3 linked regions of the Arabidopsis thaliana genome follow. The protein of the gene in region 3 interacts with the protein of the main gene of each other region in a pairwise test. Each region holds a gene or a part of one and is shown on either strand. Other genes may lie near its edges.

Region 1 (5,532 bases), on a different chromosome or scaffold from region 3:
ATCGGTGAAGAGACGTGAGAGACTCCGGGAAGTCGCCGGAGAAGTTGTTATCGTTAAGATAAACCGATTTGAGGTTAACCAAACCGGAGAGGTTAGGGATTGAACCGGAGAGAGAGTTAGCTTTGAAACTAAGAACCCTAAGTTGATCCAACTGGTTCAAACTCTTCTCGTTAAGTGAGCCGGTGAGATTCAAGTACTCAAGAACAAGCTTGGAGACTCTTCCATTCATACATTCTCTAACACCTTGCCAGTTGCAGAGATCTGTTCCTCTCCAAGAAATCGAATTAGATGGATCGATTGAAGATTTCAAGCTTAGTAAAGCTTCGACGTCGCTAGATCTCGCCGGAGTAACCAAACAGAAGAAGACTGTAAATGCAAAGACTACGAACGACACCGTACTCGAAGACGAAGAAGAAGAAGAAGAAGCCATTGTCGATGAATGATGAATCAATCAAATCAGAAAGAGTGGCTCTTTTCCTCAGCTCATAAAAGAAACAGAAATGATTGATACAGTTCGAAATCGAGTTTCCATAAAAAGCATCCCATGAATCTCCTCAAAGCCATCACTTTCTATTATTAAGTCACTTTCCAGATCTGCCCCATTATGCTAAAGCATCTCGATCGAAGCAAAAAAGGGAAAGGTAAAAAATGAAGAAGAAGAAGAAGAAAGTGAGAGCTCTGCTCTACTCTGCTCTTTAATGGCGGAAAGAAATCTTCTGGTAGTGAGCACTAAGAAGAGAAGAAGAAGCATTAAAATTCCCCGGCATTTTCTCTCTCTCTCACTTCACTTTCTGAGTATCTTTTCTCGAAGTTCTTGGTCGAGGAAGATGTCATCACGTGAAGCCATGCCTGGAAAACTTTTTTTTTGTTCTCACTGTGACATCTTCAATGCATTCATGAATAATAGTAGTATTATAAAAAAAATTAATAATGGGTTTATGAAGGAGAGACGAAGGAGAAAGAGAAAAATAATTCACGTATATTTTTGTCGTTATTGTTATGGTTGCTATTACTTTGCCAAGATTCAGAGACAGATAGGTTTTGGGGCCAAGGTAGTTACTGCTGCTGAGAAAATTTATATAGAGATTTTATGGTGAAGTGTGGTATGGAGCAGAAGAAATATGGTGGGAATAATTAATTTTAGGGATGATTTATTTAAAGTAAGGAGAGACATTGTTTTTCAATTTTATTCAGTTGGTGTCTGGTTCCTCTTTGCACTCTCTACCAATTATTGAGCTGCTTTTTTTTCCTACCTCTTTTTCTTGTTGAATCTTCACATGGTTTTTATAATATTTTTAATCGTATTTTAATATGGACCTCATGTTATTTATACAATGAGGATATAGATTGTTGGATTTTTGTTTGAGAGGAAAGTTAAAGATGTGTTAACATTCATGGTTGGTATTCAATCTCTAAAACGAGGATGTTGAAGTGTTTATTAAATTAGGAATTTATTAGTTGCTTAGCTTAAGCGTGATGAAAATGTAATAAAGAAGAGGTGAGAATTGAGTTCACGTAAAGGCTGAGTTAATTATTAACCAGCGGTCCACCAGTCCAAACACCAACCTCGCAAAGAGACTGCAGTCATTTAATTTGGCATCAATATTATTGTTGACTTCTTTGACCTTCAATGAATCATCAAGGTTTTCGACTTTCGAGTAATAAACTATAGTACATTTAATACGTTTTATATATTTGGTTTTACGTTTTTTGATACCAGTGGTGATTCTCTAGTTTTTGCCGTTTATTTAGGACATTGTTGATTTTCTTACGGACTTATGAAATGACCATGTCTTATAGACTTTTTAAAGTTGGTTACTAAAGATTAGACTTTGAATTAGTCCTCTTTTTCGATTAAACCCTAATACCGGATGGAATTTGGAGGGAAAGTTTCTAAAAGTTTTGGATTCTAGTTGACTCCATGACTGTTTGTTTTTTCTTACTAAGTTTTGACTAGTTGGTTAGTGTAATGGGCCCATGCTATTAAATTAAATGTTCAATATTTTGAGGAATATTATGGTCCTGGCCTTTTACAAGAGAATAGCATTATAGGTCCATGGGCTGGGTCCATCCTTATTATAGGTCGGAAAACATTTAGGGATCATTCTATAAGAATCTCAAATTTTAGGGCTCTTTTGCAATTTTAACTGCGAAACGCTTTTTTTTTTTCCTCTCTACACCCAAATTGAAGGGAAAAAAAAATCTGCGGATCCTCGAGAAGCCCTATCAAACACATAAAGTTCTTTCTCTTACTCATCTCCGCCGCCGGCAGTAAAAATATCACATCGTTAGGGTTTCACGGCGGAGATTCAAGTTCTTTGACCTAGGAAGCTTTCACTATCACCGGAGACTATTTCAATGGCAACCAGTCAGTATAATCATCCTCTCTGTTCTTCACTAGGACATAGAATTAATATTTGCATCTGTTTATTGACGATTTCTGTATATGTCGTGCTAAGTTTCTTCCGTGGTTTATTTCTGCAGTGGCTAGGTCGTTTCTGCAGGCGATATCGAAGGATGAGGCGGTGGCTCCTCCGCTTAGAGTTGTTCAGATCGAAGGACTGGTAACGTTTCTTAGTGTTCCCTGATTTTACGGTTTTAAGTGTTTTTCCTCGTTTTCTGCTGACCGATGGTGTTTGATAAATAAAAACTCTCTAGGTGAAGCTAATTTGCCCATTATCATTTGGTAGGAAGTTGTGATGCTGAGAATTTTGTTTGCTATTGTGATAGGCTGTACTAAAGATAATCAAACACTGCAAGGAGTTTTCACCGACCCTTGTCACTGGACAGCTTCTTGGACTTGATGTTGGTAGCGTCCTCGAAGTTACCAATTGTTTTCCTTTCCCGGTATGTTGATGAATTTTACACGCATTGTGAGGATTTAAGAGCTTGTTCATGATTGATGTACATGTGATTTACTGGAATTTGTATCTTAAACGAGGACAGGTCAGGGATGATGATGAAGAAATTGAAGCTGATGGTGCTAATTATCAGCTTGAGATGATGAGATGTCTGAGGGAGGTTAATGTTGACAACAACACTGTTGGCTGGTAGGTTTTTTAATGACATCAGTCTGAGTTCACTTGTTAAATTTTTTCTTGTGAATGTATTTAGATCTGCCTAATTCTTTGTTCAGGTATCAATCTACAGTTCTTGGTTCGTATCAGACTGTGGAACTGATTGAGACCTTCATGAATTACCAGGTACTTTTTTTTTTGTTAAAGAATCCTGTCTACCATGTCATTATAACATTCTAGATTTGGTCTGTTCATATGTTATGCTCTTCATTCAGCTGGAAATTTATATGTATAGCATGGCTACTCTAGTGTATGATAGGTATATTGGCATGTGTAAAAGTTGAATGTAAATTGGATCATGAATATATTTTCTGAGACTTTTTTTGTCCGCAACTCTGTTACAATCCCTTGCAGAATCATGATATGAACTCTTAAGAAATGATTCTTCTGCATCTACAGGAGAATATCAAGAGGTGTGTGTGCATCATATATGATCCCTCTAAAGCTGATCTAGGCGTCTTAGCTTTGAAGGCTTTGAAGCTTTCAGATTCCTTTATGGAGTTGTACCGAGGTGGAAACTTTACTGGCGAGAAGTATGTATCTTGATCCATTGAAAATCTAGGTTTTATGAGCCACTTAGGATGATAGTTGTAACGTTTTAATCACTATCTTTTTCAGGTTGAGAGAGAAAAATTTCTCCTGGATGGATATTTTTGAGGAAATACCTGTAAGTCTCTAGCTTTCTTCTATATTGAATTCTTACCAGCTAATCTTTTCAAGTCACTAGGTTGGAATTGTTACCTAATTATATTTTCCTCTGACAAAAAAAGTGGTTTAAATGTTTGTTACTTTTCCTTTGACAGATCAAGGTTTCAAATTCTGCCCTTGTCAGTGCCTTTATGACCGAACTGGAGACTGATACACCTGTCTCACAGGTACAATACTACTATCTGGATAGTGATCCTTGCTTGCTGTCAGCATTGCAGATTTTGACTCTTGATACTTCTGTATTTTCGCCTTTCTAGGGCGATTATGATCGTCTACACTCATCAACCACTCCTTTCCTTGAGAACAATATGGAGTTTTTGATTAAATGCATGGATGATTTATCTATGGAACAGCAAAAGGTGTGGTTTCTTCTGCACTCTTGTTCAATTCTCATCATCAGAAGTCCGAACTATCTTAACGCAAAATCTTAATTTATTTCTCCAGTTCCAGTATTACTACCGGAACCTGTCTCGTCAGCAAGCACAACAGCAAGCCTGGCTCCAGAAGAGAAGGTAGGTTTATATTTTCTGCAGAACCTTTTTGTTCTAGTTCAGGTTTGATTAGTTTCACTACCTCGTTATCTTGGAAGGTGATACAACTTTACTTACGAGAGTTGTGAATGCCTTGTAACATTTGTCTTCAGCTTTTCCTTGTCCTTTTGATCTTCCAACTAATGAAAGAGGTGTTTGGTTTATAGAACGGAGAACATGGCTCGTAAATCAGCTGGAGAGGAGCCTTTACCAGAAGAGGATCCTTCAAACCCAATCTTTAAGGCGATCCCTGAACCATCTAGGCTAGAGAGTTTCCTCATCACAAACCAAGTCTCAAACTTCTGTGGCCAAATCAATGGGTATGTTCCTCTTTAGTATTGTTTCACCATTTTTGGAGCTTTGAAAGATACTTAAAATGAGTCGACCTGTTGTTATGCAGAGTGGCTGGCCAGAACTTCAGCAGGCTTTACCTGACCAAAGCATTGCACGACAACTGATTGCAAAGACTACCCAAGTTTTTGTTTTTTGAGTCAGAAAGTGAAAGACTTGGTGGTAGAATGGATCCTATATTTGTTTTTCGTGGATGTTTTTGTTTTTATTTTTGTTGTTGTGAAGTAATTTAATTTACAAGCTTTTCAAAAAAAATCTTTATTCTTATGCATAATGAAAAATTATTGAAGTTTTGAAAGATTTATCTTGTATTGGACCTCTGATTGCCTTACAACAAATTATACATAGTTATCAAAATCCTAATCAAAAGAGTAAAAAATCTAATTTATAGAGATTTTATTATAGTTGTAGTGTTAGTTCCATCGCTAAATCCCTTGAACGACAACGTTTATTATTTCTTCTTCGGACGATTGTTTGAAGAAATTTAAAAACGACATCTTTTTATTACTTCCTCTTCGAAAGATTGTTTACCAACAAGAACAATGGCGGTTTATCATCTCCTTCTCTCGAGCCCACCTTCGCTTCTTCTTCTCCCTCCTTCTCCTCGCCGCCCTAACCTCACCTTAATCCGCCGTATCCCAGCTCATCCTCGCCTCGGAAACTCGACCAGCTTGCTTTCTTCTTCGTCACCGGTAATTCGGAAAATTCTGGTTCGTAGCACTCTCCGGGAAGACCAACCCATCGCCTCTGACTCCGAGAGTAGTCCTACTCTACTGATCGGTGAAGATTCTGCTGCTTTTGAATTAGGGAAACAGAAGCTTGTTTCCTGGGTTTATTTCGGTGTTGTCCTTGGAGTTGTTCTCTTT
Region 2 (5,206 bases), on a different chromosome or scaffold from region 3:
GGGAATGGTAATAATGGAGTCTTACGCAAGGAACTGAGAAATGGTTTGTTGAGTGATCATCATCATAGACAAAAGGCGAAACAGATTTGGAAGAAACATGTTTGGGTTGTGTTGATGTTTGATTTCTGCATCTGTGCTGTTTTGTTTGGAATTTGGCTTTGGATTTGTGAAGGGTTTCAATGCATTCAAGGGTAAAAGTTATCATCATCTGTGTACATCTCCAAATTCATATTCTTTGAATCTGCATCAAAATTTGATCATTTGACATCTTTTTTCTGGGTATCCGTTTTTTTGGATCAAATCTGATCCCTTTTGTTATCTCTCTGTTCTTGTCAACTTTTTTCATCTTCTTTGATTTTTAAAGTCGCAAAAAGTGTTGTTTCCAGGAGGAAAACTAGGGTATAGATTGAATCCTGGTTTACATGTTAATGATGTTGTTAATTGTACTTTGGAAGTTAAATCATTCACAAGCAAAATGTGTGTTGTTATTATCTCTTTTTTTTTTCTCGCTTCTCTTTTGTTGTTTGATTCCATAAATGGTGCTGTGATTGAACGTGGGTTACACAATAATAGAGGACAACAAAAGATGGTCTCAGATCCAGTCACACGTTAGTATTTTACTAGATATATACATTGTATCTTTAGTAGTCGGCGTATTTAAAAATAATATTCCCAACGAAAATGAAAGTGAATCCGTGAATCCAAAATCTGTAAGTCTAAGGCTTAAGAGTAGAAAGATGATTACATTACAGACATTATAATAAGTGAACGAAGAGGTTTTGGAAATAAGAAACAAAAGAGAGGGAGAAAGTGTTAAATAATGTGTGTCTCGGTCTCTAGTCTCAGCCACAAGGTGTGAGTTTCTTGTTACCTGCACCGCGAGGATTATCATCCTTCCAATCATCGAAAGCTCTAGCTTTCATCACAGCTTCTTCGTCTTCATCATCATCTTCCTCGTCTTCTTCTTTTCTTCTTAGAGGTTTATCATTGTACCATGAGGTGGTTGCTTCTTCAATGGCTTTTTTCGTCTGCTCTTGCCAATCATTCATTATGTTCATCTCTGTTAACCCAGCATCCTCTATGCACATTGTTGGCATCCTACAAAACCCAAGTTTAATCACCATTTTTAAATCTCAAAAAGGATTAAGATTTTGTAATGAGCAATATTTTGTGTCTACCTGTGACTTGGTTGGAAGACCTGAGCTATCATTCTTTCTCTCTCGGTAGAGAGCGGTCCACCCACGATGCTTGCTGGACCGAATATAAGAGGTTGGTTCTTGTGTTCGTGACCTTGTGATACCGAAGCTCTTCCTTCTAACACATCTTGTGCAAATGTGGCACAAGTGATTGGTTGTGCCGGTTTAGAGTACTGTATCCTTGCAGCAGCGTCTCTGTGCCAGGTTTCAGCTTTCTTTGTACGATCATCAAGAGCATCCCGAGAAAATCCACCCTCTCCATCCTGATCAAAATATCATAACACGTTTTCTTCTTTTATATGTTTATCAAATAGTTTTGTTCGCACCTAAAAAAACTAACACCACGGTAAGCTACCTTCAACTGTCTTTCCTTTATTGCAGAGAGCATTTCCTCTTCTCTCTTTAGCATTTCCAACAGATCAATAGCCTGTAACGAAGTTCAATCATAAGATAATGCCTCCTCAACTTGTGACAAATCATAGGGTTCTAATGAAATGATTTTTAGACAAACCTTACAAATAGCCAAGTTAATTGAGGAGAGCCAGGCCTGCAGAGGAAAGCAATAAGACAAGAAAGCTTAGAAGAAAAAATCGAATTAGAGAAAGCAGCAAAACAAAAAGTGGGACAAACCTCTCTCTCTTCTTCGCTGTCATCATCTGGAATATCATCTTCTCCAGATTCAACCGGAGTCGACAAAGCTGATGCTTTAGTGGAACGTCCACGTCGCTCCTTCCTCTCTTTAATTTCAAGAAGCTTTGCCTCTGCAGCCTTTTGACGTTTGAACCGAGCTATCTACAAAGTACCATAATCATGAAGACACAACACGCATTTCAAAATCCGAAAACTTTAAACTTCATTCTCGTCAGAACATAAACAAAAGAAACAGGGCTGAATCTACCTTGAGAGCCCTTCGATCAGCAGGTGCACCAGAACCTCCTCGTGAAGAAGCCTCCAACTCCTCATCCGGAACAAGCTCCATTGCCTCACAGAACGAAAAGAACTCCTAGACACAATAACAAAACTATACATCAATCTCAAAAAAAATCCAACCAAATGCTCATTCCCACTTGCAATAGCATCAAAGGGATACAAAAACATGTAAACACTCAGCAGAAAACTAACCTTCAACTTAGCATACGAGGCTTTGACAATCTGAATCCGGTCCTCCTGTATGATTTTCTCTGTCAACTCCGCAAGATAATAAGGCACCTATAATCACAAGACAATATAATCCCTCGTCACTTTATAGAAATGTCAACTCGCAACACAATCTTATGATCTCAACACAATCTTATGGTCTCCACACAGAGTAAGTTCAATGGAAAACGTTACAATCCAAAATCTCAGACTCCATTTTGAATTTCAGTCAGTAGCTAAAACTAGAAGCATCAGGACAAGCTAAAGTTTTTCACTTTCAGATCTTTCCACACCAAAACTAATAACAAAACTAGAATACAAACAAATTACAAAAATCCAAACAACAGAGACTCAATTGCATACCAAAAGATATTTGAGATTGTTGGTGCTAATATCTTCTTTAGTCTCGTTAGACGAAAACAGCGCCAGCTTCCCGATCATATCTTCGCACTTCTGAAACATCTCACATCCTTTCTTCACAACATCCTAACAAACCAAAGGAAAAGAATGAACTAAGCATCCCCGGAAATGTCCAATTCAGTAAAAACTCGCGATTCGGATTCGAAATACCCATTTCAGATAAACACCCTAATCGAATCTGTATATAAAAAAGAGGTAGAAGCTTCCACCTGATCAACACCAGACTCTGAAGCAGCAAGATGAATTTTCCTAGCTTGCTCGAATAGCACCGATAAAGGCATTTCCTCCATAGCCAAACCACCCATCACAGGCAACAATTCAAAATTCCTTAATGAAATCGAATCCACAAGAATCGAGTTTCTTCGAGAAGAGGATCGTCTTTTGAATTTTTTTAGGGTTCCAAATCGAAATCTGACTAATTTACCACGAGTACACACAGACAGAGGAGAGAAAATGTTAACCGCGAAGAGCTTTATAAGGGACGGTTGAGATTTTGCCGCGTCAGGTGAAGTAGATAACTCGAATTCTATTAGCCGTTAGATCTGTCCACAACCTCAAAAGTCAAAAACCGACTCAGTTGTATAAAAATATCAAGTCAAAGATCAGGTGCGGCGGGTGTAGTGTAAAACCGCCACGAATGTGATTGTGGCTATGGTATATGAATGTTTACTGTTTTTTTTCTTAATTTGAATGGAGATGAAATTTTCTTGATTTTTGTACGAGTAGGAGTATGAATAAACTAGTATCGCACCCGCTGTCTAAGCAGCCCGAATTGTCGTAGTGTTATTGATTCGATCGACCTATAGCAGTAAGGAATGGTGGATACCGATAACTAAAGCCACCTCAATCGCGGTGAATCAGCTGGATCCAAAGATTTAGGAACATCCAACAAACAATTCATGAATCGAAAACGAAGAGGTGCATTGATTGAACAGAGCTTACTATATATACTATATATGACTGTCACCCATTACAGTCTACATAGCTTGAAAGGGAAATGGATACAGAACTTAAATGTTTGACTTTCACGCATTTCACTCGACATATCTTCAAGAGGAAAATGAATTGACTGAATAAACTGTAGTATGCTATATACACAGCACAATAATCCGCATTATTTAATCTCTCACGCACACCCGCGCAGAGAACAACAGCCTCCTAAGCGACCAAAGCTAGAGGGATGCTTCAAAAGTTGACCTGAGATGAGAACTGCAAGTTGAGAGAAACTACTTGCCAGATCTAAAATAAGATAGTCATATGCGATTCATTAGGAGACTTTGGGAGTGAATGGTTCTTACTTCTTACGAGAATTGAGCCATACGGCAAGAGAAATCTCAGTTACGATGATATTGGATGGCTGGGTAAGGGTAGCGAGTGGCGACTTGGCTGAAAAAAGGTTAAATTTACGTATTGAGAAAAAATGTGAAGAGTAAAAAATTAAAGAAAGTAGTTGAGGATGTTTATGAGCAGAACCTGAGTAACCCCAAAAGACTTGTCGTCACCCATTTTTTCAAGTCAATGAAAATGCCTGCGAACTTGATCACGATTATCTGATATGAAAGAACAGAAAGAGAGTATATATGGTTTAGGGATATATAAGAAAAGACAAATGTTGTGTTCACTTGTAAAGAGGACTTACCTGAGATATGATAGTTGAGGTTATTGTAACGAGAAACATATTCTCTCTAAGGACTTCTTTGAAGGTTTGGTCTACACTTTGGATTTCAAACTCATTAAAAACCTGCGTTATTTTAGAAAGATAGAGAGATGATCAACATATGAACTCTAATTAGAAGAGTGGGAAAAAATCAGATATTACCAGGTAGAAGACAAAGGAATTGAATATCAATGTGTTCATCATTTTTTCGGCATTGCCCGTCTGACCATGCTTCAGCTTCAGTAGCTTCTCAGAATTTATGAGTACCAGCGAGAGCACTAGGTAAAATACCTGGAGGAAGGTATTTCATGACACAAGCATTATTAGAGGTCTCCAAACCAGTGTGTTTGTCTCTAATCTAAATAATTAATTAGTTTAATATCACCAAGGAATTGTATTTGCTCCTTGGAAACTATGAAGGTGTGAAATACTTAATCTGACATTAACGTCCACACATGATCAATCGAGGATTTTACCCTACATACCTGAATTATCATCTTGGACCACATCGTCTTGGTTATAAGAGGATCTCTGAAAAACAAAAAATGTACACATGCATATGTACTATCAGTTTGTGTATATTCACCTAGAACAGATAGTGTGTTTTAACAAGAATTGCAAAACCAACAGTTTCTTCAAAACCTTCAGCATCAATACATTAATGTCTCTTTCTAAGCCAACTCTATATTGACTTAATAATCAAATCTTATCCTTGATCCTATTCAGAATTTGTACCTTATACCAACCGGTGGCTTTCCCATTAGGTGGTGATCAGATCTTGGTCTGTATGCCAAAG
Region 3 (5,156 bases):
AAATAAAACCCCAAAGCCTTAGAATTCCAAAATTTCACCAGGACACGAGGTCGAAAGAAACCCTCGAGGAAACGAACTCTAATATCTGTAATTAAGACCTAGTCTATATATTAGGGAAAAAGCTGGCGCATAACACAAGCAATTTTCAAACAAATCCAGATATAGAGTAAAACTATGACCTGGACCTAGAAGGTTTCGTGTCGTGTAAATAATTTATATCCAGAAAAAAAAAGAATCTAAACTCTGCGAGAGAAAAGTCAAAGAGAGACAGAGAGAGAGGAATTACCAGAGAATATGCTTGAGGAAGGAGACGAGAAGGAGACGAGACAACTTTAACAGGAAAGAGGGTAATGTGCCAAACCAAAAAAGGAAAAGGTTTTAAGAAGGCGCGTGGCTACATTTTTTATGTCTTCCGAAGCATCGTGGATCATGGGGTGAGGACACGTGTTCGTGTTCTATTGGGAAACCGAACTTCTTCTTTGTTTTAGTGGGCCGGAATTCTTTAAGCCCATTACATTACAAGACGTTCAGACGGACACTAGTTCGGTCCAAAGGCATCACCGTTATCATCTTTTATATTTACACGTTTTCAACGTTCTTTTATATTACATCGTGGGTCAAAAGGTCAAAGTGTTAGCTGCTCTACTTAATCTCAATCAATAACAATCTCATAAAATCAATTATAAATTAAGCGTCTTGGTAACCAAAGTTTTCTTTAATGTTCATGTGTCAGAAGGAAACAACAACCAAAGAAGTAGGAACTACATAAAAATATAGTAAATCTACAAAGTAGTTGTGGACTGGTGAAGGAATGAAGGAGGAGGCCTGACGTAAGTGAAATTGGTAAAAGGGTTGGCCTTAGGATCCGAACTGGGACTGCTCGCCGGAGAATCCAAAACAGACATGTCAGTCCAACACTTGTCAAAATTTGCTATGCATTGCCTTCCCGATACTTCCGGCTTGAAACTTGGCATCACTTCTCTAGCCTCCAGCTTCTTCCAGTTTATTCCCTTGAACCATTTGTGCTGTTTTATCTCCTCTGCTCCGCTCAGTCCACTTCCAAGTCGCCTTTCTGGCTCTTTTTGCAGCAGCTATACATTCATTACAAAGTCAAGAGTCAGAATTGTTCTAAATACAATGCTTCATAGTTCTTAACTGCACAAAGATTTTCATGTTTACTGTTGATTCTGTAATCAAACTGCACCAACATTTACTTACCCCTTTCAGTATTGCATGAGCTTCATTAGACAGAAACTGCGGAAGCTTGATCTTGTCCTTCACAATTTTCTGCTGTATCTTTCCTTTGCTCCCGAGAAACGGTGGCTGCAGAAGGAAAACAAGACATCACACAACAATATACCAAGACATGAGGCTTCAAGCAAATTAACAATAGATAGCGGCTTTTACCTTTCCTGTGAGCATCTCATACAGAAGAATCCCTACGCTCCACCAGTCAGCTGCTTTATCATGTCCTTTTCCTCGAACAATTTCAGGTGCCATATACTCCGTAGTTCCGCACATGGAGTTTGATCTTGTGTTTTCTTCAAATTCCTTTGCTAAACCAAAATCTGTTAGCATCACGTGGCCATCTGTATCCATGAGTATGTTTTCGGGTTTCAGATCTCTGTGCATTATGCCTTTCTCATGGAGATGGGAAACTGCAGAGACGATTTCTGCAGTGTACACTCGAGCCAAGTCCTCTCTGCGAAAGAGTAAAATATAGAACCAATTAAGCTTTACAAAATTCTAGCGAAACTTCAAAAATGGTTCGCAAAAAGGAATTAAACAAACCTGAAAAGCCCTTGGTGATAGAGTTGGAAGAAAAGATGACCTCCGTTTATAAAGTCGAGCACAAGATACAGCCTGTACTTGGTCTGCAAGGGAATGTATAACGCTCTAAGTTAAGAAATAGTAAAGTAAAATAAATAGGATGCTAACAGAGAGAAGTGTTATATATACCTGAAAAGAGTATTTAAGTTGAACAATGAATGGGTGATCAATTTTTGTAAGAATATCGCGCTCAGCTTTCATGTATTCAGCATGGTTCTTCTCCATAATGTGATCTTTCCTCATGACTTTCATAGCGTATATCTCAGAGGTCTCCTTTTTCCTCACCTGGTAGACTTTCCCAAACGCACCTTTCCCAACAACCTTCATAACCTCAAAATCATCTATGCCTACTACACCTGAGACTTTCACCAGATCTCCCTCTAAAGCTTTCTCATTGTCACTGTCGTCATTACCAGAGAAATCATCATTTTCTTTTAAAGATTCACCTTCGAGACACTCCACCAAGTCAATTGAGTCCTCAGTCTCTAGTAAGGTGAGCTTGGTCAGCTTCAAAGAATGACTATCGAGCGAACACGGGCCAACCAAGGAGTGGGATCGACTGTAGACAACAGCAGGCTCGTCGTAAGCAATATCATTGGCCTCTTCGGGGAGTGGACCAAACACATCAGAGAACTCAAGTTCAACATCATCTTTCAAGACAGAATTTGAAGGGCTGATGGATAGATATTGCTGTTTCTGGATTTTGTTGGGGACAGGACGCTGAGAGGAAACCATAATTTACACGGGAAAAATCGATACAGAATCACTGAGAAAGCTGCAAGAGTTCACCAGCCTGGAGAGAGATTCTGTACCGACAGAAGTTAATGAGGAGAAAACTGACTAAAACAAAGGCTGGCAAAAGGCAATCCAATAACAAGGAGAAGAAGCTCTTGTTGTTTCCCGATTTTAAGGAAACAGTGGATGCTGCAGAAGTGCGCAAATGCCATGAAGGTTTTATAAGCTCTGCAAGTACATGAAAAGTTCACACATTTAAAGGCTATCACATGAACAAATAAGATCTGAGATACAGGATTGACCAAATCTATGAAGAGACGGTGTAGAATTAATATAAGCAAGTCCAGTGATCCTTTTACTAATTGAGATTTTCAGAAAACTTCGAACCCACATAAAAAAAGGGAAAACTTTCACAGCGATGACAAATCTTGAATAAAACCCAAATCCCTAACAATTTCCGGATTCAGAATCGGACAAAGATTAAAAATTCCACAGGACATGAAGCCGAACGAGACACTCGAGGAAAAGGAACTGCAATTTCGATAATTCAGATCTATTGGTAAGTAAAATTTCACGTAAATCGAGATCTACAGAAAAACTATGACCTGAACTTAAACCGTTTCGTGTCTTAGAAACAATTCATGAATTTTGGATAAATTCTATGGATCTAGAATACGAAAAAAGGAATCTTAACTATGCGAGAGAGAATTCAAACAAACATAGATAGAGAGGGAGAATTGATTACCAGAGGGGATGGCTGAGGGAGGAGACGAAGATGGAAATGAGGACGAGAGGAGAATTTAAGAGCAGCATCGCAGATCCAGGGGTTCATACACGTGGCCGTATCTTATTGGGAGAACGTTGACCAGTTGTTAAATATGCGGCGGAGGTTTTTTTGTCCACTAATTCTTTATTTATTTTAGTGGGCCGCCTTTCACCAAGCCCATTCTTCCTGACTTTTTGTTGTTTTTTAGATCATATCTTTTTTTTCCGGATTATGTGGATTTGAAATCCACAATGAGGAAATTTTACCAGCCATTAGATTCACAAAATACATCAATTTGTGAGAGACTGAGAGAGTATTTTGCGTATCCAGAGATTTTAGAAGCCATTAATCTCTTATTCCATTGAATCTCTCTAGCTCGATGTTCCTCATTCATTCTTAACCTTTCTATCATAAAAAATTTCATGCTTTTAAACAGTTACGAAAAGCATTAGGATTGACCAAATTATGTTAGTTCTTGTATGAATTTGCTGATTTTAATCAAACTTAAATATATATAAATTTATTTAATCGAAAAATTGTCTCTCGATGTTCAGAAAAACAAACATGTGTCCCCGGATTCGAACATTCTCATATACAAAAAAGATGTATCATTGCCTTGTTGTTAACGACCCAATTAACTAGGTGTAGTAGACCCGGATCACGCTCGGTTCATGTATGCACCAGTTCTTGTGTCCACAAATATCTCTTCACCGACGTTAATAAAGAGTGGTACAGCAACTATTGCACCCGTTTCCATTGTCGCCGGTTTTGATCCACCTACGAAATTCATCACCCCACTTGGTCAGTTTAAGCTTGTTTAAACCAAAACATGAGAAGAGATCTCTCAACAATAGATTGGTGCAACATTGTTACCTTGCACAGTATCACCGCGAAGGCCAGGATCAACGTCAACCACTTTTAGCTTAACTGTAATCGGTAGATCGAAATCGATAACCTTGCAAAGATCCAGAGAGAAACAAAGTTGGCATCACCGCTTAATTACGTGAACTATTAACTATTTTTACAGAGAAGCTGAAAGTGAGTGTACCTTGTCTTTCCAATAGAGCAAAATGCAATCCATTCCTTCTTTCAACCATTTCGTCTTCTCACCCATATCAGATTCGTTAAGACGTGTTTCTTCGTATGTGGTCTATATAAAAAAAAAGATTTGATAACCAAGAGAAAACGTAATCATTAGTACACAAACTTTAAGCTACTACTACCATACTAGCGAAGAAGAGAAGTAAGGATCCAATGTGACATACCAAATCCATGAAAACAAACTGAGACCCATCTTTGTATGTGAATTGTTTGGTTTCTTTATATATATTAGCTTCCTCAACCTGTAACATAGAATGGTCATAATCAAAATGGTGCAACTAAAAAATCATTCATCAGATTAAGATATAAGAGAAAAAGAGATGATTTTTACAGAAATTCCAGCACGAAATGTTCTCTCGACTGTGCTACCATTCACATAGTTCCTGATCTTAGTTCTCACAAATGCCGCACCTTTTCCTGGTTTAACATGAAGAAACTCTGCTCCAACAAAGCAAGAAAAAACCCTCAGTAGACTAGTAAGTAGCTAAGTGGAAGCATTATAACCAAAACAATGCTTAAATCGTCATGAACTAGTAATAGTATCTACAAATTCAGAAACCTTCCAAGTTCCAAGTATAGATAATAACATAAACTAAGAGGAATTGAGGAAGAAGAATACCAAGAACACGCCAAGGAGCACCATCGACTTCGATATTGGTTCCCGCTTTGATGTCGTTAGCAGACATAGAGCAGTGAATCCCTGCAAAAATCAAACGTGTCTGAA

What was found.
Region 1: the proteins of PK1 (region 3) and TIF3H1 interact in binary tests that used the Arabidopsis thaliana proteins (3 or more experiments, as listed by UniProt).
Region 2: the proteins of PK1 (region 3) and TAP46 come close enough for resonance energy transfer, tested with the Arabidopsis thaliana proteins (one study listed by BioGRID).

Annotation. Positions count from the first base shown.
Region 1 is NC_003070.9:3,607,126-3,612,657, reverse strand, and holds TIF3H1 (translation initiation factor 3 subunit H1), read left to right. Parts: upstream 1-2,041; 5' UTR 2,042-2,358; coding exon 2,359-2,368; exon of another isoform or gene 2,369-2,484; coding exon 2,485-2,564; intron 2,565-2,730; coding exon 2,731-2,847; intron 2,848-2,946; coding exon 2,947-3,050; intron 3,051-3,136; coding exon 3,137-3,203; intron 3,204-3,476; coding exon 3,477-3,610; intron 3,611-3,695; coding exon 3,696-3,744; intron 3,745-3,880; coding exon 3,881-3,952; intron 3,953-4,042; coding exon 4,043-4,144; intron 4,145-4,229; coding exon 4,230-4,297; intron 4,298-4,482; coding exon 4,483-4,635; intron 4,636-4,715; coding exon 4,716-4,773; 3' UTR 4,774-5,027; downstream 5,028-5,532. Other genes in the region: AT1G10850 (Leucine-rich repeat protein kinase family protein), read right to left, coding at 1-430; Z-ISO (15-cis-zeta-carotene isomerase), read left to right, coding at 5,209-5,532. UniProt on the Arabidopsis thaliana protein: Component of the eukaryotic translation initiation factor 3 (eIF-3) complex, which is involved in protein synthesis of a specialized repertoire of mRNAs and, together with other initiation factors, stimulates binding of mRNA and methionyl-tRNAi to the 40S ribosome.
Region 2 is NC_003076.8:21,484,812-21,490,017, forward strand, and holds TAP46 (2A phosphatase associated protein of 46 kD), read right to left. Parts: upstream 3,232-5,206; 5' UTR 3,059-3,231; coding exon 2,963-3,058; intron 2,820-2,962; coding exon 2,697-2,819; intron 2,406-2,696; coding exon 2,319-2,405; intron 2,200-2,318; coding exon 2,095-2,199; intron 1,989-2,094; coding exon 1,827-1,988; intron 1,744-1,826; coding exon 1,708-1,743; intron 1,624-1,707; coding exon 1,552-1,623; intron 1,460-1,551; coding exon 1,179-1,459; intron 1,099-1,178; coding exon 843-1,098; 3' UTR 506-842; downstream 1-505. Other genes in the region: AT5G52990 (SNARE-like superfamily protein), read left to right, coding at 1-195; AT5G53010 (calcium-transporting ATPase), read right to left, coding at 4,088-4,139, 4,227-4,303, 4,393-4,494, 4,573-4,701, 4,896-4,941, 5,146-5,206. UniProt on the Arabidopsis thaliana protein: Involved in the positive regulation of the TOR signaling pathway. Acts as a negative regulator of PP2A catalytic activity. Plays a positive role in the ABA-regulated inhibition of germination, probably throught its interaction with ABI5.
Region 3 is NC_003074.8:2,650,799-2,655,954, forward strand, and holds PK1 (protein-serine kinase 1), read right to left. Parts: upstream 3,415-5,156; 5' UTR 3,311-3,414; exon of another isoform or gene 2,794-3,310; 5' UTR 2,566-2,793; coding exon 1,960-2,565; intron 1,875-1,959; coding exon 1,792-1,874; intron 1,703-1,791; coding exon 1,408-1,702; intron 1,324-1,407; coding exon 1,219-1,323; intron 1,092-1,218; coding exon 783-1,091; 3' UTR 523-782; downstream 1-522. Other genes in the region: AT3G08740 (elongation factor P (EF-P) family protein), read right to left, coding at 3,990-4,108, 4,205-4,286, 4,380-4,481, 4,597-4,674, 4,764-4,870, 5,052-5,132. UniProt on the Arabidopsis thaliana protein: Downstream effector of TOR signaling pathway involved in osmotic stress response. Could be involved in the control of plant growth and development. Phosphorylates the ribosomal proteins P14, P16 and S6.